Linked DNA regions of Schizosaccharomyces pombe. The protein of the gene in region 3 interacts with the protein of the main gene of each other region in a pairwise test. Each region holds a gene or a part of one and is shown on either strand. Other genes may lie near its edges. The genes, in order: jnm1, mug5 and arp1.

Region 1 (7,983 bases), on a different chromosome or scaffold from region 3:
AGTTAGCATAATAATCATCATCGATTTTATTAAATTTGAGATAAAGCATATAGTTGAATTGGGTAAACTAAATATAGCAACCCCTAAGGTAAAACATGTTTGATGTATGGAAAATTACATATGTTAGTTATTTTAAATTTTAAACCATTACAATCAAGACCTCTTTTCAACCTTTGTTAATATGATAAAAAAGAGCAATCTGTATCTTAATATATCGAACTCAAACAAATGAAGCTATATTAAATAATATCAAAGTGAAGCAACTTTTATGATTCATCCTATGCATTGAATATAACTAATCTGCCTAATTCGAACATTCTAAATCTGCAAGATAAATAATTTTGAAAGTAGAATCTCCATAAATTTTCTTAAAAAACTAGCATTTGAAGTGTAGCTTATTTGAACAAAAAAGACCCAAGTCTTTGTTAGTTCACGAAAGAGCATTTTAATGCGTCGGTAGGCAATTAAATAGTGTTAAGAGTCTTAAAAAATCATGACGACCTTAATAGTCTTTACAAATTTATTGATTTAGCTTGAAAATTAGAGCCCTCAAGCATCAGTAGTTATGTACTCAGAAATTGTGATGCACAACAAGACATTGAATCTTTAGTTTTTTAAGATGCTAGCAAAAAAATTTTACTTAAATTTTTTTTAAGTAACTTAACAAGTACAACAATTCTGGAGTTCTTTGATTACTAAAAAGGGCACATTAATTAATATCGATATAATATTTGTCAAAGGATAACATATTATTCGTCATAACAAAAAACCAGAACTTTTAACATCAACATTCCCTAACTTGCGATTAGAACCAATTTTCGATAGTCCTCTAAAACCTTTAAAGAAAATGCATGCCTAGACACTTTTAGACTTACTAAATGACATTAGACACCGTTATTTACGGATTTGCTCAAATTCCAGAAGCAGAGAAATAAATATAAGAAAAAAGAAGGGATAAATTTTTAATAAGGAATGTACAGTGTGAATGGATAGATCATCAAGGTTTAGCAGGATCTCCTACGGATGAATGAATTTGGTTCAACACGTTTGACCACTTAACCGAAACTCGTTTAGTATCATGAGGTCGTTCAGTTTCTGCATATCTCATCAATTTCGATATTTGCTTTTCGAGAAGTTGTAAATGTTTTTTCTTGACTTCGTTGTTTTGCTTTTCCAATGATCCTAGAAATTGTTTAGTCCAACTCTCACAGACTTTTTCTAGCAACCCGAATCGCCCATGCTTCATATAAAATTTAATTGATGTATCGTATATCTCAATTATTGGAACACAATGCCTATACATTTGAGAGTACAAACGAATGAAAAGCTCAATATTTTTTATTCGTGCATGACCAGCTGGAGCTCTAAATTGTAAAGATGCAATGGACCAATATATTATGTAGCGCCAGGCTAACTCAGGAAAATTAATTTTATAAACAGAAGTAAGCTTCCTTGACAGAGATACTGCACTTGAGACATCACCTAAATATCCTAATGCAGAAATGATTGAAAATACTGTATGATGTGTAGGAAATGTAACGTTTCCACAGTCAACTTTTTTACTAGATGAATTTTCGTTTATCCCCCAAACGGTATCTATAAGATCGTAAATCTCTCGAATCTTTCCATCTCGAGATAAACCCACCATCAGATAATCATATGTAGTAGAATTAGGTACCAAATCGTAATTTGGAAAATCGACTTCAATCATATCAAGCATTTTACCAGAGACAGGTTCCGTTACCGGTGATCCTCTAAAAGCAGGACTCTGGAATTTAGAAAGCGACCATCTGTTTCCCCCAATTACACCGAGAATTGCATTAAAGTAATCGACACTTGGGCGGATTCTTTTCTCCTTTACTCTTGCTACTATATATTCAAGTATATGCTTGTTCCCAGTATACATTGCAACCCGTAAAATATGGGTATAGTCAACAATGTTAAATTGAATTCCCAAACGATCAGCATCTTGAAGGATTAGCTTAATTTGTAAAGAAACTAAATCACGATCACGATGTCGGATGTTTTTTCCATTTTTGGGACAAACAACGGACCGTAATATTGATTGAAAATCCGAAGTTCTGAGTTGGTCAAACTCTTTTTTTGAACGTGCTTTAGAATATTCAATAAACAAGGAGGATAATTTTCCATAAGAAGATACCCGTAATAAGTTAGACGCGATGGGAGATGCCGAAGGTATAAATTTCTGTGAATCACTTATATCGTACAGTAGTTCCTTAAGTATGTCGGTATGGGAATATCGTTTTTGTAGAATTAACTTAAATGTACATTTTCTTATATTATTTGGTAAGGAACCCAAAATTCGCATCCTGCTACATGAAAGCGAACCGAATGGTAATTTCTGGTGGTCGGTAGAACGCAACTAGCTACTTCAAATAAATCTATGACAATTCTGTATTTGAACAAGAAGCAAAGGTTAGTGAAAAGTATATTGCTTTTTGTGAAGTAATTAGGTTTCAATATTCCTGAAATAAATGTAATTATTTGCATACTCGATGAAACGCATATAGTAACAAAAACAGAAATTGTACGAAGCTTCTGATACTATCGCAAATAAATTTTTCTTTGATATAGGAAATTAGGAAATTTTTGTTTACTCTCATTCCTTAACGTTCAAGACTTACGTCCAAAAACTTCAGAACAAAGAAATGCAGCGTAAAAATTCAATAGCACTATCCTATTGCAATTTTAAAACGCGTTTTTCAAGCTGTGTGACAGTGTCAGATAATCTCCTCATCTCTTCTACGCTTTGTGTGTAAAATTTTGAATGATCAAGGCGTTCAACTGTATTTTTCCATTCGTTCAACTCAGACTGCATAGTCATCATTACATCTTTTGAACCCTGCCAACTGCTAATTGCTTCAGCCGCATCGGTGTGCATATTCTGTAAAGACTTTAGCCGTTCTAACAACAATGGTAATATGGGCATATACTGTTCAACGAAGGGAAGTTGGGAAGAACAAATCTCTAACATGATAACAATATCTTCTTCCGTACACAATTCCTTTAACGAAGAGTTTTTTAAAGTCGTTTGTTTCTCTATTGAACAAAGATTTCTTTCATGGTGTTTCAAAAAATCTTTAGCAAGTAATTGCTTCCATGATTCAATTCGGGATTGCCAAAATTGAGGATCCTGCTCAACAATTTCAAGTTTTTCCATACATTTGTTTAAAAGCTCGCTAAGCGGTTCATCAGCATACCCTATTTTTGATTCTAGTTTGAATATCCGTTTGTCAAGGCTATCCAAATCGAACGGATATGAGAGAGTTGGTGACTTCAAGGACTCAGAAGTTTTACTGTTAAGATTTTTTTCCGTTTCCAGGGTATCTTGCAAAGTGTCATCTGAAAATTGTTCAAGTCTCTTTTCCATAGTATCATCATTACCACTAATGGCAGTGTCACTGATAGTTTCTGACTTTGACCCTTCACTGTTTATGTGTTTATCCCACAATCTATCCAACATTTCCCCTAATTGAGTAAGTTCCTTCTGTTCTTCGTACATCATCGACTGCTCCCATAATTCTTCAAGTTCGCTGCGAATTTTCATTAGTTTCTCTTTCCAACATTTTTTTTCAGTTTGATCGGAAGATTTCCTGAGTCTTAGTCGACCAATTGTTCTCATCGGTACATAGCAATGTTGCTCTTTAAGTTTACTCAAGCATTCTTCTACAGAGAATTGTTTTGTAACGATGCTGGGTTCAGAGGAGCTGTCTAGATTAATCATTTCTTTCATCTTTTTTAATTACTATCAGTAAACGAAATTGCTTAAAGGCGTATCTCAGATCATATGCTTACACGTTTGATATTTTTCGGGAGTAATCGATGGTTTAGGGGTTTTATTTGGTTTCAGTTCCTTAAATAATAGGTGTTTTCTTATAGAATAAATTTCTTGATGTTTTATAGTGAGCACTATTACTTCGATAAAATACAGTTCTAGTCGCAAGCAAGTGCAGGTTAGCAAGGGAGCACCATAGTAGGTAAGCGAGTAAGCACAACAAAGTCGAACTTTACATCTGCATATACCAATAAAAGGGCTTGATAATTTTTTTTTGAATTATTTGCAGGAATCGTTTACTGAATTAACGTGTAAAAACTTTACATGCTAATATCGTGCTCAAACATTACGCTTTGTCACAAAGTTGTATAAACGTGATACTACTAAACGGCTTTATGTTTATTTAATTTCAACAACTGAAGAGTAGCATTCTTAATGATTGTTCAGTTTGTGGCACTTTTGCTGCTCAATTTGCTGCAAATAATAGCTGCAGAAAGTTCGCATACAAATAATTGGGCCGTCTTAATTTCTACCTCGCGTTTTTGGTTCAACTACAGACATACTGCGAATGTTTTAGGAATATACAGATCAGTCAAGCGTCTTGGAATCCCAGACAGTCAAATTATATTGATGATAGCTGACGACTACGCTTGCAACTCTCGAAATTTGTTTCCAGGAACAGTTTTTGATAATGCAGATAGAGCATTAGATTTGTATGGAGAAGAAATTGAAATTGATTATAAGGGCTATGAAGTTACTGTTGAAGCGTTTATCAGATTGTTGACAGAGAGAGTCCCTGAAAATACACCAGCCAGCAAACGATTATTGACAAACGAAAGATCTAATATCCTAATTTATATGACAGGTCATGGAGGCGATGGTTTTATTAAATTTCAAGATGCTGAAGAATTGAGTTCTGAGGACCTTGCTGATGCAATTGAGCAAATACATCAACACAAGAGATACAATGAAATCCTATTTATGGTAGATACATGCCAGGCAAATTCTTTGTATACAAAAATCTATTCGCCAAACGTCTTGGCAATTGGTAGCAGTGAAGTGGGAACTTCTTCTTATTCCCATCATGCTGATATCGATATTGGAGTTGCAGTGATCGATCGCTTCACCTTTTCTAATTTGGAATTCTTAGAAAATAGGGTTGATAGTAAAAGCAAATTGACTATGCAGGATTTGATCAACTCCTATAATCCGTATGAAATTCATTCTACACCTGGTGTCCAACCCATCAACTTACGAAGAAGCCCGGATGACATTTTAATAACGGACTTCTTTGGAAACGTTCGTGACATTGAATTGCACAGTGAAAAAATAAATTGGATGTTGCCCGGTGAAAACACTACCAAACCATCAATAAAAAGAAATAGTTTCGTATTTCAGGCACAAAATGACATGCAGGATGACGGTAAAGGTTTTGGTATTTCAAATCTAAAGAGTTTTCTTCCACCAACCAGAGAACTTAAATACAAAAAACATCCTATTTCTCGAATTATCTCCGCTGTTGTGTGTATTTCCTTCTCTATTGGTTTTCCGTACTATGCCAGTAAGTACCTGAAATAGGCGTTTCAAACAGGGTTTCTCACGTTTTTTATGACATTCATTAACACATTAATTTATCTTCTATTTCAAAGTACATTTCAAACGTTTGGATTGGTTTCTTTGTAGACTTGGATCATCCCTAGTAATTCGAGGACTAATGTTACTCAAAATGCTTTTGCTTCATCTTAGGAAGCGTAGGCTAATGCCAATTACTAATTATAATTTATATACGGTCAATATCTCAATAATATTTTCCATTAAAATTTACACATATGTAAGTAGGGATGAAGCGATGTTTTTAAGCAAAACTTCGATCATTTTAATATTTGATGATTTAAAATTCTATATGCACCACAACTAGTAACTTAAGCAACCCTTTCTCCAGCTTAGTTGTGAATACCACTATGCCTTCATAGACGAAATCAATTCTGTTTAAAATTTGCTTGAGCAAGGGCATTTTCGAGGTCAGCCTTGAGATCATCGACGTTTTCGATGCCGACACAGATGCGAATCAAATCTTCACTCAATCCCCGAGCGTCTCGAACCTCCTTCTTGATAGAAGCATGACTCATATAAGCGGGCATACTGATCAAAGAGTTAACAGCACCAAACGAAACCGATATTTCAAAGAGCTTAGTAGTGTTTACAATAGTTTTAGAGACTTCAACGTCGCCAGTAAAAACAGACATTACAGCACCTGGTCCACGTGCAAAGGAGTAAAAGATTGCGGTTGACTTAGCGTCAGGGTCTAATCCAGGGAAGTTGACCTGAAGTCCCTTGCTCTTTAAGAATTTGGCAATTTCTATTGCATTCTGCTGTGCACGTTCAACACGCAATCCCATCGTTTTAATACCGCGCAACAGAAGGAAACATTCGAAGGGAGCCATAGCAGCACCCATTGCGTTGATGTTAAAAAACACAGATTTAGCAATCTCATCGCTTTTTGTGGCAATGACACCACCCATTAAATCGTGATGACCTGAGAGATACTTTGTGGCCGACTCGTAAACTATATCATAACCAAAGTCCAAAGGGTTACAAAGGACAGGAGAAAGCATAGTATTGTCCATTACCAATAAGGCATCCTTGGCTTTTGAACGAGTTATTTTAACAATAGCCCGAATATCACAAATGCTGATACGGGGATTAGTAGGACTTTCAATCAAAACCAAGTTTGTGTCTGGGCGCAAAGCTGCCTCAAAGGCTGCCAAGTCAGAAGTATCAACGTTATCCACTTTAAATCCATATTGCCTTTGGTTAAAAGAGAGTAAGCGATCAGAGCCACCATATAGATCGTGGCCAGCAACGACATGGCTATTAGACTTGCAGCAGCGTAAAATCATGTCTAAAGCGGACATACCATTGCTAGTTACAAAAGCATGTTTCGCCTTCATAAGTTTAGCCAAGTGCACTTGAAGAACAGAGCGAGTAGGATTACCGGAACGAGTGTAATCAAATTTGCCCATATGCTCTAAGCATGGCTGTTTAAAGGTAGCTGATTGATAAATTGGGACTGAAGACGCATGATACTGGTCTTCATTGCCTTCAACATGTACCAATTCGGTATCGACAGAATATTTACAATCGCTGGGCATAGTGATGGTCATGGAAGATAAAATTTAGGAAGATAAAATAGGCAATATGAGAGTATAGTAGATACAGATATGAAGCGAAGAACAAATCTTTTCTTCTTAATAAGAAACAGTGATACCAAAATTCAATAAAAGGTGTACAAAAACAGATGTTGCAAAATTAAATTTTTAGGACGAGTATTAAGACCTAGAAATTGGCAAACAAACTAACAATGATTATCAGGCAGTAGATGGTCATTTATGTACTTTTTGAAGCTTCCTAATTGTAAAAAATGTTTGATAATCGCTACAATAAACAGATAACATTAGACGAGCGAGAACGACCAATATCCCTGACCCCTTTTGCGATTTTTATGCTGCCGATTATATGCTCGATTTTACTGATGGAAACGTATACGAATCGATAGACAAATGTAATATAGCGTTTTTCCTCTGTTTAGTCAGATGAGGCTAGCAAAATAACTTTTATAGCTAACCACTGGGTACTGAACGAGTAAACGATGTAAACATTTGAAAAATTCAGCTAATAACACAAACGTCTACTGCAATATGGCAATATGTTTAGGTAACGCCAACAACTAAGTTACCAGTAAGTTTGATAACACATCAATATAGTGAGAAAGACAAACATACGATAACGAACAGTTGTCACATCTAGCCCGTTTGATGAAATATTAGCAAGAAATACGACTTCTCGACTAACCCTTGAGAACCCCTTTAAACATGAAATTCCACAAACTTCCGCACATTTCACGACACATACCGCCTATCTTTAATGCGAACTGTACATCATCTAATAAACAACTCACAATAATAGGCGATCCATCCACTCGAATCGCTATTGATGCAAACTACAATTGCCGTCGAAAGGTCAAAACTGCTTCGGGATACTATCGTCAGTAGTACCCAATATCTACAAGACTCCACTACCCTTCATCGATGAGCTGTACAGAATCATACGAACCACAAGCAAAATACAGGGGTGACATAGAGCTAATCATAAGCAAAGATTTAAAGCTTTAACATCTTGAACGACAT
Region 2 (7,259 bases), on a different chromosome or scaffold from region 3:
CACTACCGTACTTTCAGCATTATGATTTGCGCTTTATAGCATCTTTTTTTACTCAGTTTTATAGGCTTCGCTTGCATCAAGTATATCCACGGGGGAATTGGGTATTCACATGTCTTAATGGTTATTATCCCTATTTAAAACTGACTTTACTTGTTGGCTTTCTATTTCGTCTATTCCTGGTTTATCTTCTATTTCTAATCATTTCAGCCTACTACAAATCTTAACTTAAAGTCTTTTAAGTTTATGTGATTTGTCCTCTTTATTTATATGACATTTTCTAAACCAACAATTTTTGCTTACATTATGAGCAGTTATTAAAATACATCCTTTTAAAGTGTACGTGAAATTTATATGCAAATATATAACAATCACAATCTATTAACATTATAAGTGCTGTAAAATATTAGGTAACTGCCAGCAGACCATAGAACGTAAAAAATTTCAGTAACTTGGGAGTAAAGTAAAACGAGAGACCCTGTCCAGCAGAAAAAGTTATGAATATTTTGATGAACATTTTCAATCCGATAATGAATTTTTCAACAGAACCAAATGAATGGTAAAAAGATAAAAGTACCAACAAATATATAGACCGGATGGATTAAAATGAAACAATGAAAATAATTAAAAATGGTTCCCGAAAGTAAAAATAAGGGGTCTATTACAACATTGCTTAACCTTTTTGATAAAGCAATACCGAAGAAATCGAGCAGACCTTCCAGATGCTGTACGTTATATCCTCCCAGACCGATTATAATAAATAACAAAAAGCAAAACTAGAAGTCTAAAAGTACAGAACACCTGTATAGGCATTAAAATTATATATCGACAAGGAATCAACAATTTCGGGTCCCGTTCCAGAGGCTAAGGTACCACCTTGACGAGCAACTGTGAAGGAAGGGGATGCATTCGTTTCCATGGGTATTGTGAATTGGTTCACACCAGGAACACCACTGAATGTTTGTGTTGTAGAGCCACATGTTACGGTGACTTCCGCGGATTGCAACAGATAAACAAGCACAAATATTTCATCTTCCATATAATCACCACCGGAGGGATACGACAAACTATCAGCGGTCGCTGTAGCAGATTTCGGAGTCGGTCTATACCAATAAAATAACGATTCAAAGTTAATGTACGGTTCTGACAAACCAAGCTTGTATGCAGATATATATGGAGACATCAAATACCGCCATGCGGTATGATCAAACCCATCAACATATCCTTCCGAACCAGCCGGCAAGGCGCCTTGAATATTTCCAATATAATGTGATTCACCGTAATCGTTCCAAGTCAAAACCTCAATCATGTCAGGCTGAACAGATAGCATTTCATTCCACCGATCAATAATTAACCAATCGCTTTTATAGGCCCAATTTTTGTAAGAAAGATGAGTGTAAAACCAAGGCGAGACTGGTGCAACATACAACTTGCCTAAAGAATTGGCAAGATTCTGGTAACCAATGTCATCATTGTCGTTCATATCAGCATCCGTTGTGGGCCATGCGTTCCAAGAGAGAAACCCATCTGCAACGCTTTCTTCCAGTGCCCCTTGGCCTAAGGAGGTCCAGCTTGGGACAAAATATATAGGATAACCAGCAGATGCTAAAGGCTCTTTTACAGCAGAATCCCAGCCCGTGCTAACATCAGAATAACCGAATGTATCTGTCTCTCCAGCAAATGTAGAAACAAACACTTTACCATCATAATACAGTTGGTTAGGCTTATCAGCAAATCTTCGAACAACACCTTCAATAAAATCAGCATCTGCTGAAATAATACTCATATCGAAAGAAATAAAAAGCTTGAAGTCTGAGGAAACGCTGGCTGCCGCGTCATATGCGTCTTCAATTCGCTCAACCTGCCACGCGTCTGATCCCATATTGAGAGCGAATCCGTCTATACCGACAGCGATTGCATCCTGGATATCTTCCTCCCAGTTAGAAACAGTGTAAGGATAAGTATTGCCAACAATAAAATGGGCAACAACCATCTTATCAGCGTTAGTCAAATTAATTAACGCTGAAAAAAGAAGAACCAGAAATAGCACAAGCTTCATTTTTTTCCGATATATAAAATACAACAAGGTTTATATATACTTTGAAGAATGATGCTTTAGATGTGCGAATTTCCTTTGTCTTCCAATATCCTTTGTCTGCCGAAAAACAAAGAAATTATAAATGAAAGAGGTATTAGTTATCGCTTCACCAGCGATAAGTCAGTATCAACGGGGTAAAACATGCCTGAAATATTTATATTATATAAGATATTCTTGGTTGAGCGATACAAAGAAAGGATTCATGAATTTCGTGTTAGTGGCTGGCATGGGCTGGAGATTGAACGAAAAAGTGTAGCATGGCTGGCGAACTTTTCATAAGTATAATCAAAGTTGTAAAAATAAAATTAATTGGTTAAAAAAGCTCGCGATTTAATCGCGCCATCCACTTATCACCTTAGTTTTTCACATAACTTTACATTTGTCAAAAGAAAGTAAACCCATAAAGATCGAAAGAACCATTGTCTAACAACATAAATTTAAGAGATGACTGTTATTTTGAACATGTGAGAAGTATTTAAGCACTACTGTTCTTTGATTCCAGATATAAGTTTAACAGTTCAAGACAAGGGGTAGAGGTTAGGTCTGATGAAATTTTTTTAATGACGAAGAACACTAGCCTTCTCTCTCTTGTTTAAAAGTTTCTGGATATTATAAATCCTTTCACATAAATTTAAAATATTTTGGTTATGCCGAAGTGTATCTGCTAAGTAATATGACTCGATAGTGGTTGATATTTTTTTTAACTGTCTTTGATACAAGCTCAGTAGTACAGAACAAGAGGTATTATATTCTTCCAAGCGTTTTAGATCATTTGACAATGAAAAGAAGTTTATATTTGATAGACTTTTCTCGTAATGTTCAATCATACGCAGAGTGCAGCAAAATATCAACATCGTTTGCAACGTACCAGTATCTAAATCTTGGTAACAATCAATTGGTTCCATATTTGATAAATGCCGTTTCATCAGTATAGTTAAAGCATGTATTGACACGTCGTACTCTTTTGGAAGCTTAAAATCACATTCTCTTTTTAAACGAATGTATAAATTGCTGTCAAATTCATTCATTAAATCTTCTAGGATTTTAATTCTGTTTTCAAATCCAGATATGGTGAGCTGCATTTGTTGACTAGACATTCTACTTAGGTAGCACATATAGAGAATTAGGAAGAAGCCACAGGCTTTTATCTCTACTACGCGTAAACGCGTTTTTTTTAAAATTAAAGTATAATAAAGGATTAACAAATTACGCTGAATATCCTAAAGTAGATACACAATTATGAACGCTGATGTTGATATTTAAGCTTCAAAATTTATAAATAATTGTATCGAAAAATATTAGGCGTCTGAACTTAGTCTAGTAAATGAATAAATAGCGGTTCAAACACCACCCGTTATTTCATCCTAAAATCACCCACAAAACTTGTTAGTTCTAAGTAGTAATTTAATGATTTCCATCTCCGATCGAGTCAAAAGAATTTTCAACGTTTGCGATTTAAAGGTCGATAAAGTCTCATAAAGAAGATAATTATAAAGCAGCAACCATAAATGACTGCACTCAAAAAGAATATCATATTAGGATATGACACTTTCATAGACTCAGTATATACAAATGCATATATTGGGCCTCGAATGATCAAAGCAACCGCTTCAAAAACAGCAAACGCAGCTAATACTCGACCATTATATTCGGACTGGACTCCATTAAGAGCAATAGATTGTACGCAAGGAACAACCATATTTGAGATGGCTTGTATAATAACAGCGGTGAAAAGTGCAACATCGGATTTGGCAACTGCTAACAATACCGCTGCACTCAAAGCAATAGCATAGCCTAACTGTGCATTCCAAACGTCTCGTTTAACTATAGTGTATTTCTCGTCAGCCGTTCTACCACGCAATATACTAGAACGTGAATAACCAGGACGAACTAAATAAGAGAAAACATTTCGAATCCCTTGTAGGGAAGAGGTATTGTCTGCACGACTTGGATCTTCAAATAATCCTTCAGAAGAATAAAGCTTTTCGATTATTTTTTCGATAACTTTAGAAAGTAAAGGGAATAGCGCAACTAATGTGATTGAACTAGCAAAAGAGTCGGTGGATAATATTAAGCTAGCCTTCATTGGACCCCAGCCAAATTTATAGTCCGTATAAAGCGGCAATAAGCCCATTGAACCAGCGCCGAGTAAAGTTAAAGATATCAATATTGCTGCAAGTAACACGTCCCAGTGTCTTCTTCCTGCATGGGTATCAGCATTAATATCGTACTGATGGAATTCGCATGATTCCTCTGTACATAAACTTCGAGGCCAAAGAATTATAAGTGGCTCAAGGCATGATCTCCATATCGAGGAAAATCCAGATATTTTATTCTGCTGCTCTTTACTTTCCGAAACATCTAGGCTTTCTGGAAGTATCAACCAAACGTAAAGTAAATAAATAATCCAAAAAGTTGAAGTAATATAAAATACATAATACATATGAGGAGTGTATTGCACAATGAATCCGCTTAAACTAGGTCCCAAAGCGGTTCCTAGATGGTAAGCAGCAAAATTTAATCCTAAATACCATGCACGAAACTCGGTCTTAGAACAATCTGCAACAAAGGAATTTTGGCTGGCTACAACGGTAGAAATATAACCGCCTAAGCCTTTCAAGGCAGCAGCAAAAAGAACAAAATATGGATGCTTGGGGGCATAGGACTGATATAAAAGCCATAAATCACCAAGCAGCAAAAATGAGACGGTAATGAAAAGTACAAGGCGGCGACCATAAATATCCCCCATTGTTCCATAATAAGCGGTGGAAAAAAGACCTAAAAAGGCGGCTAAAGAGCCAAAAGCGGCACGGACTTTTGAAACACCAGTAGTAATTTCCGCTAGTCGGCATATTGGGTCATCTGGGGACAACTGTGTAGGATCAAGGTTATAATGAATGGCACATAGTTCCTGTCGAAGTAAAAAGAGCAGAGGTATTTCAATCATGCCCCAAGAAAAGGCATTAATAAAGTTTAATGGAAGAATCAAAAGTGGAGATAAAGAACGTCTTCTGGCGATTTCACGACAACAGTTATCATTGTTACATATAGATTCATTATTATGATGAGAATTAGATGAATCTGGTTCATTGAAAGAGATGGGTTCATTAGAATTGGAGGTAGAGTCGTAATTTTTAGGCTTCGCCTTAAATGAGTCATGCGAGCTTGACTTTGCAACGTTATTATTGCTTGAACTGGCACCATTGGTTTCATGCTTTAATGAATGAGAATTACCGTTGCATGCAGAACCTTTAGCTTGCAAAGGACAATCAGAACAGTATTCTCTTTCTGGTGAAGGAGTTCTGGATCGAAAGGGCTTGTTCACTGACGGATCGGAAATTAGTAATGGAGTATGATCATCATCGTGTGAAGACATTTGTAGCTCCTTCTCAAAATGGTGGGTACGCTGATAAAATAGAATGTAAATTATAACCCAAATACTCTTCTACTCGAAATGTTCGCAATAATCAATTAACTCGTTGCCCTCAAACTGCAGCATCAATTGTAAAATTCCTTGCACCTATATCCTAAAAATTTTTCTATATGCAATATATACGTTTCACAACGTTTTCGATTTCGAGATAATTAGAAGACTTTAGGTAGTTGGTGCTACTAAGAAGGTTGAGAACCGAAGGAAAATATTTGCTCGAGAAAGTAATTTTGAACTACTAGTTACTATGAAGAAATAACTATATTCCAAAATGACAATGCAATGTAATTGCTTTGTAGTTGGCTAAGCCTTTAGATGTATATATATTAGACGCTTAGATTCTGGACTAGTTTAATTAATGCTGTTACGTTGTGGCGTTATAGTGTCATCGTTAGTCGTTGAATAGTTCTTATAGTGAAATTGGGTATAATATTCGAAAAAAAATTAGCAAACTCGCTATTTTATGCTATTTATTAATTCTTTCTGTTCTTACTGTGAAAGATATTTCTTATATTCCACTTACGTTTGAACTGAGGCTCTTGCTGTATTTTAACTTACGGCTTGCAGTATCAATATAACTATTGCTACTAGAAATTACCTTTAGTCTACGTATTCCATTGAAGCTCTCCGAACGCATCATCTATAGGAAGTTTATTTCTTTTGGAACGGCAAATTTGCCAACTTCTTGTCTGTGAACATATTTTTGTGATTGTATTCTTTCTTCTCAATTCCTTTATTTCATGCTAAGTTGAGCTATTTGATTTCATTTTAGAGCATATACCGGTACATAACTTATTAAATTCTGATTCCATAACAGGAGTGGAATTGATTTACTAATTCTCGGAGTACATTTATTGTAAATTTGAGCATCTCTATTATTTTGGCTTATTTTAGTTAATTATTGACTGTAAACCAACAACATGACTACATTACTGGAAACACCTGGATATAGTGAAAAACTTCATGATTCGATTGAAAAAAAACTTTCTGAATATGGGTGGGGAGAAGAGGCTGCTTCTCTGGCCGATTTTGTTCTTGTGATGCTTAGCAATGGAAAAACACAAACTGAAATTAATGAAGAACTAGTTGATTTAATAGGGTCCGATTTTGATACTAGCTTCTCACTTTGGTTATTTAATCAAATTGAAGAGCTTGAAAAATCAAAAAATGCTTCAGTTGAGTCAGTCAGCAAGATCGACGAAATCGATTTTATCGAGAAGGAGTCAACTGACAAGTCGCAGCAATCTTTCTCTGTGCCGGAAACTAGCATACAACCTCAATCTTCTCAAACTCCTAATATAACTTCGTTACGTGAAGAGAAGGAGCTACCTACTGGGCGTGTCGGACAAAAGCTCAAACTTACATCTCAGAAACAGCGATTCAATCCCATGGCAGCTTCGTTTAACTACTCGAAATCCGTTATGCCTGCTGCCAAGCGTGCTCTCACTCAAACCCAAGAGGTCCCTTTGTGCAAATATGCCGATAAGTGCTCCCGTGCTAACGTATGTATTAATATCAGATAATTTGTTAAAACTAACTCTTTAGTGTATATTTGCTCATCCGACACCAGCCGCAGCCCCAGGAGAAGGTATGGTCCTGAGCAGTGAAATGTGTGCTTCTGGTAAAGAATGCAAAGCTGCTGATGTAAGTACCATAATAATTTAAATCTAACTATTACTAACGTATACAGTGTGTCAAGGGACATCCATCTCCAGCTACGGTTACTACATTACC
Region 3 (7,715 bases):
TTCGTTATTAAGACGTCCTGCTAATACTTACTTCTCTGCGCAATCGTATTTACGTTACCAAGCGAAGAAGTTTGTAAGTCGCTTTGATGCTAATTGTTACATTTCGATTACTAAAAAGTTGGACACCCATGATATTACTCGTGGACGCGGTTCAGACTCTCCTAAGGAAGTCATGAAGGATTTGTCTTTACCCGTACTCGTACTCGGTATTGAAAGCGATGGTCTTTTCACATTTGACGAACAAGTTGAAATTGCCAAATCTTTTCCCAATGCTACCTTGGAAAAAATTATTTCGGCCGAAGGCCACGACGGTTTTTTGCTTGAGTTTACTCAAGTAAACTCACATATTCAAAAATTCCAAAAGGAACATTTAATTGATATCATGTCTCAAACTAATTCCTTTGAGCGACTTGATTCCCAAGTTAATGATACCAACCGCGAAAGCGTTTTTGGAGAAATGGAAGACATAACCTCCTGGTAAGTAAAGTGTTTTTAGGATTGTTGATAACTTACCAATAGTTATCCTACTGGTTACCATCCTGGTGTTACAGTGGTATAAGTATCCTACGGACCAACGGCCTGGGGAGAAAGATCGTGTGCTAGTTTAGTCAACTTGAGGATTCAACTCCTCATGTATAAACACGATCACTTTCGTTAATGAGCTTGAAACGTATATTATGACTATTTTATTTAAAAAGGATGTTAATTTTCAAAACATGGTTTTTTTCGTTAGCTTTTCAACTTCTCATTCCACCTTTCTTTTCTTATTGTTTTGTCAATTTAGGTTCCTGCGGGCAGTGAATTAGAGAGCGATTGAGCTGGATGGTTTCCTTGTATGCCTTTCTTTAAGAAAGAAGAAAATGTAGTATACATTGATAGAAATTGCCAAAACCTTGTTAAACCTATTTCAACCCTTTCTGCATTCGTCTAACCGATTCTTGGATAGATATGCATCTTCTTGAAGAGTGATGCGTATATGGAAATATTCCAGTTGTATCTAGCGAAATCACTTTGCCACAATATGAAATTTGAAAATTACATTCTCACCCCTCCAACATGGGGACTAATTCTTTTTTAATGCCACCAAAAAAAATTCTATGAAGCGTTTGTTGATGGGATTTACAGTCGTTCAGTGTTTAATATATAGATTTTATAAAAACAATGTTTAATAAACTATTTTGTTTTTTTTTTGTTGAAAGTTTTATTTCGTGGATAAAGAGAATACAATTCGATATACTATGGAAAAACAAATGTAGCAATCCACCGTGGTATGAAGAGAGAGCAATACAGCATAGGATAAGATTATTGGAACTCGGACTAGGAAGCGGATATCTGGGGCAAAATCAAGATTGCTTCTTCCGGGTTCGTAGAGTTAGCGACAGATCCTTGCCGGTCATGAGGAAAAACAACGCACCGACCGTATCCAAGCTATGGTTTACATCACAACATACTGGGTCAATCATTTATGAAAGTGCTTATTTCGAGAACACAAAGCTCTATATTCACGTGCCTTTACACCGGACATGATAAAAATCTTGTTAAACTTGAAAAAGGAGTATTCTGGTGGTTTTGTTTACATTTTTATAACACAATACAAGCCGCTACGTTATCTTTCTTTTCCATCAGCTGTTACTTAGACGGAAGCACAAGAAGCAGTCACAAAGCAGTAGAGAGAAATTCAGTATATCTAGAAGAGATACTTGCCAAGAACACCAGTTCCAAATCAAAAATTTTTGGGTAAAAAATGTCTTTCCGTAATTCCTCTAGAATGGCCATGAAGGCCTTGCGTACTATGGGTAGCCGTCGTTTGGCTACTCGTAGCATGTCTGTTATGGCTCGCACCATTGCTGCCCCCAGCATGCGTTTTGCGCCTCGCATGACCGCCCCTTTGATGCAAACTCGCGGTATGCGTGTTATGGACTTTGCCGGTACCAAGGAGAACGTTTGGGAGCGTTCTGACTGGCCTCGTGAAAAGCTTGTTGACTACTTCAAGAACGACACTCTTGCCATCATTGGATACGGATCTCAAGGACATGGTCAAGGTTTGAACGCTCGTGATCAAGGTTTGAACGTTATTGTCGGTGTCCGTAAGGATGGTGCTTCCTGGAAGCAAGCTATTGAAGACGGTTGGGTCCCTGGTAAGACTTTGTTCCCCGTCGAGGAGGCCATCAAGAAGGGTTCTATCATCATGAACCTTTTGTCCGATGCCGCTCAAACTGAGACTTGGCCCAAGATTGCTCCCCTTATTACCAAGGGTAAGACTTTGTACTTCTCTCACGGTTTCTCCGTCATCTTCAAGGATCAAACTAAGATTCACCCCCCTAAGGATGTTGATGTTATCCTTGTCGCTCCCAAGGGTTCTGGTCGTACCGTTCGTACCCTTTTCAAGGAAGGTCGTGGTATTAACTCTTCCTTCGCTGTTTACCAAGACGTTACTGGTAAGGCTCAAGAAAAGGCCATTGGTTTGGCTGTTGCCGTCGGTTCCGGTTTCATCTACCAAACCACTTTCAAGAAGGAGGTTATCTCCGATTTGGTTGGTGAGCGTGGATGTCTCATGGGTGGTATCAACGGTCTTTTCTTGGCTCAATACCAAGTTTTGCGTGAACGTGGTCACTCCCCTGCTGAGGCTTTCAACGAGACTGTTGAAGAGGCCACTCAATCCCTTTACCCCTTGATTGGCAAGTACGGTCTTGACTACATGTTTGCCGCTTGCTCTACCACCGCTCGTCGTGGTGCCATTGACTGGACTCCTCGTTTCCTTGAGGCTAACAAGAAGGTCCTTAATGAATTGTATGACAATGTTGAGAACGGTAACGAGGCTAAGCGTTCCTTGGAATACAACTCTGCTCCCAACTACCGTGAGCTTTACGATAAGGAGTTGGAGGAAATCCGCAACTTGGAAATCTGGAAGGCTGGTGAGGTTGTTCGTTCTCTCCGTCCTGAACACAACAAGCACTAGAATATTTAAGAATATTCATATACTTTTTAAATTTTAGGTTATATATTGTTTCATATTAATCATTTCGGTTTAAATATCCATTGGCTATTCGAATAATGATTTTGTATATTTCTTTGCCCTTCATGTCATAATCTCTTGTACACTTTTTTACATCAGTTAATTTCTTTGGTGCATGATGGTAACTTCTTTAAAGTTTTAAATATTATTCAATCTTCTCGTCTAATCATATAATATTATGTTGTATTTAAACCAATTTAATTCTCATTTTTTAGTTTATACTTAATTCTTTTTCCGCTTACTATGTAAAAGTTGCTAATATTTTGTGTTTTTAGACTAAAACTTTTGTACAAAATCCTTATTTGGTTTGAACATCACAATATCCAGTGTATGCTAATTACGAAACGACACTAGTAAGTTTTTACTTATTTGTAACCACGAAAATGATACGAAGTCGTGTTAATTTAGCACGCGAGGTGCCCAAAAAAGCCAAAGCGCATTTGTCCAAGGAGCGGCGGTTAATTAAAGAGGATTCGGAATTCGTATTTGGAACGCATTCAGTAAAAAATGCCCTTGCAACGCGCAAAAGAGAATGTCGAGCACTTTATGTTCAAAATGCTGACATTCATAGTGAATTTGAAGAATTTTTGAACAAACTACAGTACAAAATACCAATAAAAAGTGTGAATAAAGAACATTTAAATCAAATCACAGCATGCCGACCTCACAATGTACGTTTTCTGAGAATTTTTGTGGTCCATAACCCTTTACGATTTTACAAGACACCGAAAATGCACTTGTGTTTGTATTCTCACTAACATGTTAGGGGGTTGTTTTGGAGGCATCCTCGTTGAATGTTCCAACAATATCAGATTTACTTTTCCCAGCTGGGGAAGAGTACAACAACAAAAATGGGCAGGATTCTCCACATAATGATTTGAATGAGGGTAAAAGCTCATCGTCCGATAACTATCCTCCACTTTATGTTTACGTTGACGGTATAACAGATCCTCAAAATATGGGTGCCGTTATTCGAAGCGCTGTAAGCTATCGTTTGCTACTATTTAAAATTTCTAATTGGGTTTAAGTATATTTTAGGCGCTAAAGGGATTTTATTATCAAAAAAACATAATACATTCTTGTCACCGGTCGTTAGTAAAGCTTCAGCTGGAGCTCTTGAAGTCTTCAACATTAGCCACGTGAAAAATCCTATGGTCTTTTTGAGGAACTCAGTTTTAAAAGGTTGGAAAGTCATAGGGACCAAGCCAGCTTTGCCAGATAACAAAGATCAAATTTACACCCCGCATAAAATCAAAACAGAACTAATGAATGAACCGAAAATACTTGTACTAGGAAGTGAAAGTAAGTGTATTGTATGAATGCCTTTATTGCTAACTTTATAAAGAGGGTTTAAGAACGAACATTTTAACGCAATGTTCTCATTATGTTTCAATTCCCGGCGGTGATAAATACGTTGATTCATTAAACGTCTCAGTAGCTGCTGGTATTCTTTTGTATAGCTTAGTGAATTGAAAATATTAGACTGATTGTTTAAAAGATATACCAAATTTTAAAGCTTTAGACTGGTACAATGTAATATTGGTTTTAAAAGTTTCAAATGAAGAGCGATAAACTGCAATACTCGTTTTAAGTTTCAAAATCTTCGCCTAAAAATTACGTTTTGATCATTTTTATACTCCTCTGAAGTAATTAAAAGCCGACGAAATGTACTTAGACTGGCTAATATTGAGCCGCCAAGCCAAGCATTATGCATACGTTCAGGGGAAGCATAAATTTTAACTTGATTTTTTTTCCCAGAAATTGCACGTAACTCAGAGATGAATCTCTCCCCAAATCCTCTCAATAACGTTGAACCTCCAGAAAGTACAATGTTTGAATATAAGGTTGACCTTAAATCGATGTCGGACAATAAAATAGACTTGAACAATTGTATGTGAAGACCAGACGCCTCAGAACCCATCATTTCCGGGTTGAATAAAACCTCAGGCGCAGAAAAGCATTCTGTACCCAAAGTTATAGTTTGGTTGTCTGGGAGTTGATATGTATGAATCTGCGGTTTGTGTTCAGTCCATGATTCTATTTCTGATCTAAAGTCAGATGCTACGTAGCAACATTTTTCTTTAATTTCCCGGACAATTTCTTTCTCCGCCGAGCTGACGAGTTCGTGGCCAGATTTTCGAAGTTGCAATTGCAAATAATCTGTAACGTCACGACCTCCAATTTCCTCTTGTTGTATAGCTGATGGAATGGAAAACCCATCATAAATAGGAACACTATGAGTCAAGCCATCTCCACATTCAAGAACAATGCCAGTTGTACGTGCGGAGGCATACAGTGCCAATACAGGCTGCAAGGAAAAGCTCAATGCTGGAACGTTTAACGTTTCATAAAAATACTCTGCAATTTTTTCTTTGTTTCGGATGTTAGCCAAAGGAGGTTCGGTTAAAAGCAAGGGATGTTCTTCCGGTAAAGTATTGAGCTGTTGATCTGAATAAATATAGCTCCAAATCTCTTCCATATCGGACCAATTTTGGATGATTCCCCGTTCAATTGGACGTTGAATTTTAAGCAACCCGCGAAGATTTTGAGCCTCAGAACCAACAAACATATCTTTTTGGATACTACTTGGCATGACACGCTCATGCTTAATTCTTCCAACACTGTATATTAGTATCTAGTATGAGAAATAAACTTCATACCAAGTCGGAAAAAGGCATTTGGGAATATCATCGCCAGCGAATCCAGCTTTAATAAATCCAGAGCCCTAGATAGTTTTGTCAATATAACTAGACAGTTTAACAGGAAATAGCCGGCTAAAAAGAGTCTGGCATACATTGTCGATACATATCGGCTGATTATCAAAGCTAAAACGCGTCAATAAATAGAATTCTTTCAAAAGACACGCACATTTCAGTAACAGTCATCCAAAAAGCTGAAATATCAAAGTTGAGACTCGGAGGTTTTAAAAGAAAGTTTTATTAAGGGTTTAAATTATTCTTTAAGCGGCTTGAAATTTGAGAGCACTAGCAATAATGAAGGAAATGGCGGGTAAACAGTAATAGAAGACGCAACTTTGAAGGTTTTGGGCTTTGCCAAGAAATTTTATACTAACAGGAGGAACAACAATCGTACCAATTTTTTAAAAAAATACCTTAAACCAATGGAAATTGGTCACTAACAGCTATTAGTTAAAGCAATTGGGAATTGTCTAAAGAAAGTAGCATGCTTGACAAGAAACTTAGCAGTATTAAGCTTCGTTATGTATCACTATACCCTGCAATTATCATACATAAGTTGTTTCATTCAATAGGCTTTTTGAATGAAAACCATATAAAGAAATTACGACAACCCTTTCGATTGAATTTGTTTCTTCAGTTGAATTGTAGTATATGCTTAATAATGGTTATGTTTACATCTTGGTTAGACCCATCATAAAGCCGCTCGTACTCGTAATTGTTGTTGAATGGATTGTAAAGAAGACTGTACAAAATTCACTGCATTTTTAACGTGTTTTCGAAATAACTAATCAAACTATCAAAAAGATAACGTATCAACACTAAACCGCACTACTTTATAAATTGCACATCGGGTTGCTTCTTAGCTAGACGGAAAGACAATGCTGACCTTGTCTTCATAATTGTTTACAATCTTCCACCATTCATCTACTCATTAATCAGTAGTAATGTATTAAAATAAACAATTTCTATTTTTTAATTATACAAACAATTTCCTATTCTGAATCTAAATGTAACAGTTGTATCGCATTTGGCATTTCTTTTTTGTAATCCAGCAACCGAAAATTCAATCAAATCAATGTGACCATGGCGAATTGGATATAAAATAACAAAGATTAAGGTGGAAACTTCAACTTTATCAGCGACTATCATTATAGTCAACAAGTAGACAAACTAATAATATAAAGACTAACAAGTCTTGGGGGTATAAACTAATAATACATATGTCTTGCCTCATTTAAAAATGGTAAAAGCAAGGAACCGTTCACGGCTTATATCGATAAACATTCTAAAGCAGGGGAACCAATGTGTTGAAACTGGTAATAAAAAGAGGGATGGGGGTGGTAAAAGAATTCCAATAATCGAAATTCCTTAGAAAAATAAAAATAAAATCCATGTCTTAACAATTACATCAAGAAGAGTAAAAAAAAAAGAAAAGCGAAAATAACGAATTAAAAAAGATTGCATTGTTAGATTGTTTAATGCTTTTATCGAATAAGATAAAACATTCAATTTTCCAATTTTTTGTTTTCCCTTTTTATTATTTTCTTCTGATCATAACGGAAATCGGGTTTTCTTCTTGTATACAATATTCGGGTTTAAGCGCTTACTTCCCAATCAAATGCACCCTTTCTTTGCTCAGCTCCCCAATTAGGAGAGTTCAAGTCATCTCTGACAGTTTGAACGTAAAAGGAAAGAGGTTGCTCTTGGTCGTTACAGCTCATAGCCGACTCAGAGTTAATGCCGATATCGGTGGTTTGATCAGCAACATTGGATGCGGTAAAAGACCAACCATTCTTAGTACCGTCAACACGGGAAGCAACACTAGTAGAGAAGGAAAATCTTGAAGCCGTTGCCTTTAAAGAGGTAGCGGCTAAAAGAGACTTGGAGATGACACCTTGTTTAAGAATAGAAAACATAGCGATGAATCAAAAATGTTTATTGATGAAATTAAAAAGAAAAGAAAATAACAGTGATTAAATAGAAATGTGTAGAATAGAAGT

The links.
Region 1: the proteins of arp1 (region 3) and jnm1 interact in a two-hybrid assay, tested with the Schizosaccharomyces pombe proteins (one study listed by BioGRID).
Region 2: the proteins of arp1 (region 3) and mug5 interact in a two-hybrid assay, tested with the Schizosaccharomyces pombe proteins (one study listed by BioGRID).

What each region holds. Positions count from the first base shown.
Region 1 is NC_003421.2:1,452,207-1,460,189, reverse strand, and holds jnm1 (dynactin complex subunit dynamitin), read right to left. Parts: upstream 3,978-7,983; 5' UTR 3,755-3,977; coding exon 2,699-3,754; 3' UTR 2,335-2,698; downstream 1-2,334. Other genes in the region: PPR-repeat protein ppr6, read right to left, coding at 998-2,329; gpi8 (pig-K), read left to right, coding at 4,232-5,374; cbl1 (cystathionine beta-lyase), read right to left, coding at 5,776-6,948. UniProt on the Schizosaccharomyces pombe protein: Required for correct meiotic chromosome segregation.
Region 2 is NC_003424.3:5,239,004-5,246,262, reverse strand, and holds mug5 (protein mug5), read right to left. Parts: upstream 3,211-7,259; coding exon 2,653-3,210; 3' UTR 2,149-2,652; downstream 1-2,148. Other genes in the region: SPOM_SPAC14C4.10C (Nudix family hydrolase), read left to right, coding at 1-224; cell wall glucan endo-1,3-alpha-glucosidase Agn1, read right to left, coding at 782-2,056; SPOM_SPAC14C4.07 (transporter), read right to left, coding at 3,537-5,471; poly(A)-binding protein Nab2, read left to right, coding at 6,446-7,027, 7,071-7,169, 7,216-7,259. UniProt on the Schizosaccharomyces pombe protein: Required for correct meiotic chromosome segregation.
Region 3 is NC_003423.3:4,082,123-4,089,837, reverse strand, and holds arp1 (centractin family actin-like protein Arp1), read right to left. Parts: upstream 5,902-7,715; coding exon 5,885-5,901; intron 5,842-5,884; coding exon 5,811-5,841; intron 5,742-5,810; coding exon 5,677-5,741; intron 5,638-5,676; coding exon 4,611-5,637; 3' UTR 4,490-4,610; coding exon of another isoform or gene 4,362-4,489; 3' UTR 4,330-4,361; downstream 1-4,329. Other genes in the region: homoserine O-acetyltransferase Met6, read left to right, coding at 1-477, 520-559; ilv5 (acetohydroxyacid reductoisomerase), read left to right, coding at 1,745-2,959; mrm1 (ribose methyltransferase), read left to right, coding at 3,400-3,687, 3,783-3,998, 4,045-4,318, 4,362-4,489; SPOM_SPBC1347.14C (uncharacterized protein), read left to right, coding at 7,194-7,559; protein sro1, read right to left, coding at 7,311-7,631. UniProt on the Schizosaccharomyces pombe protein: Core component of the dynactin complex which assists cytoplasmic dynein by increasing its processivity and by regulation of its cargo binding.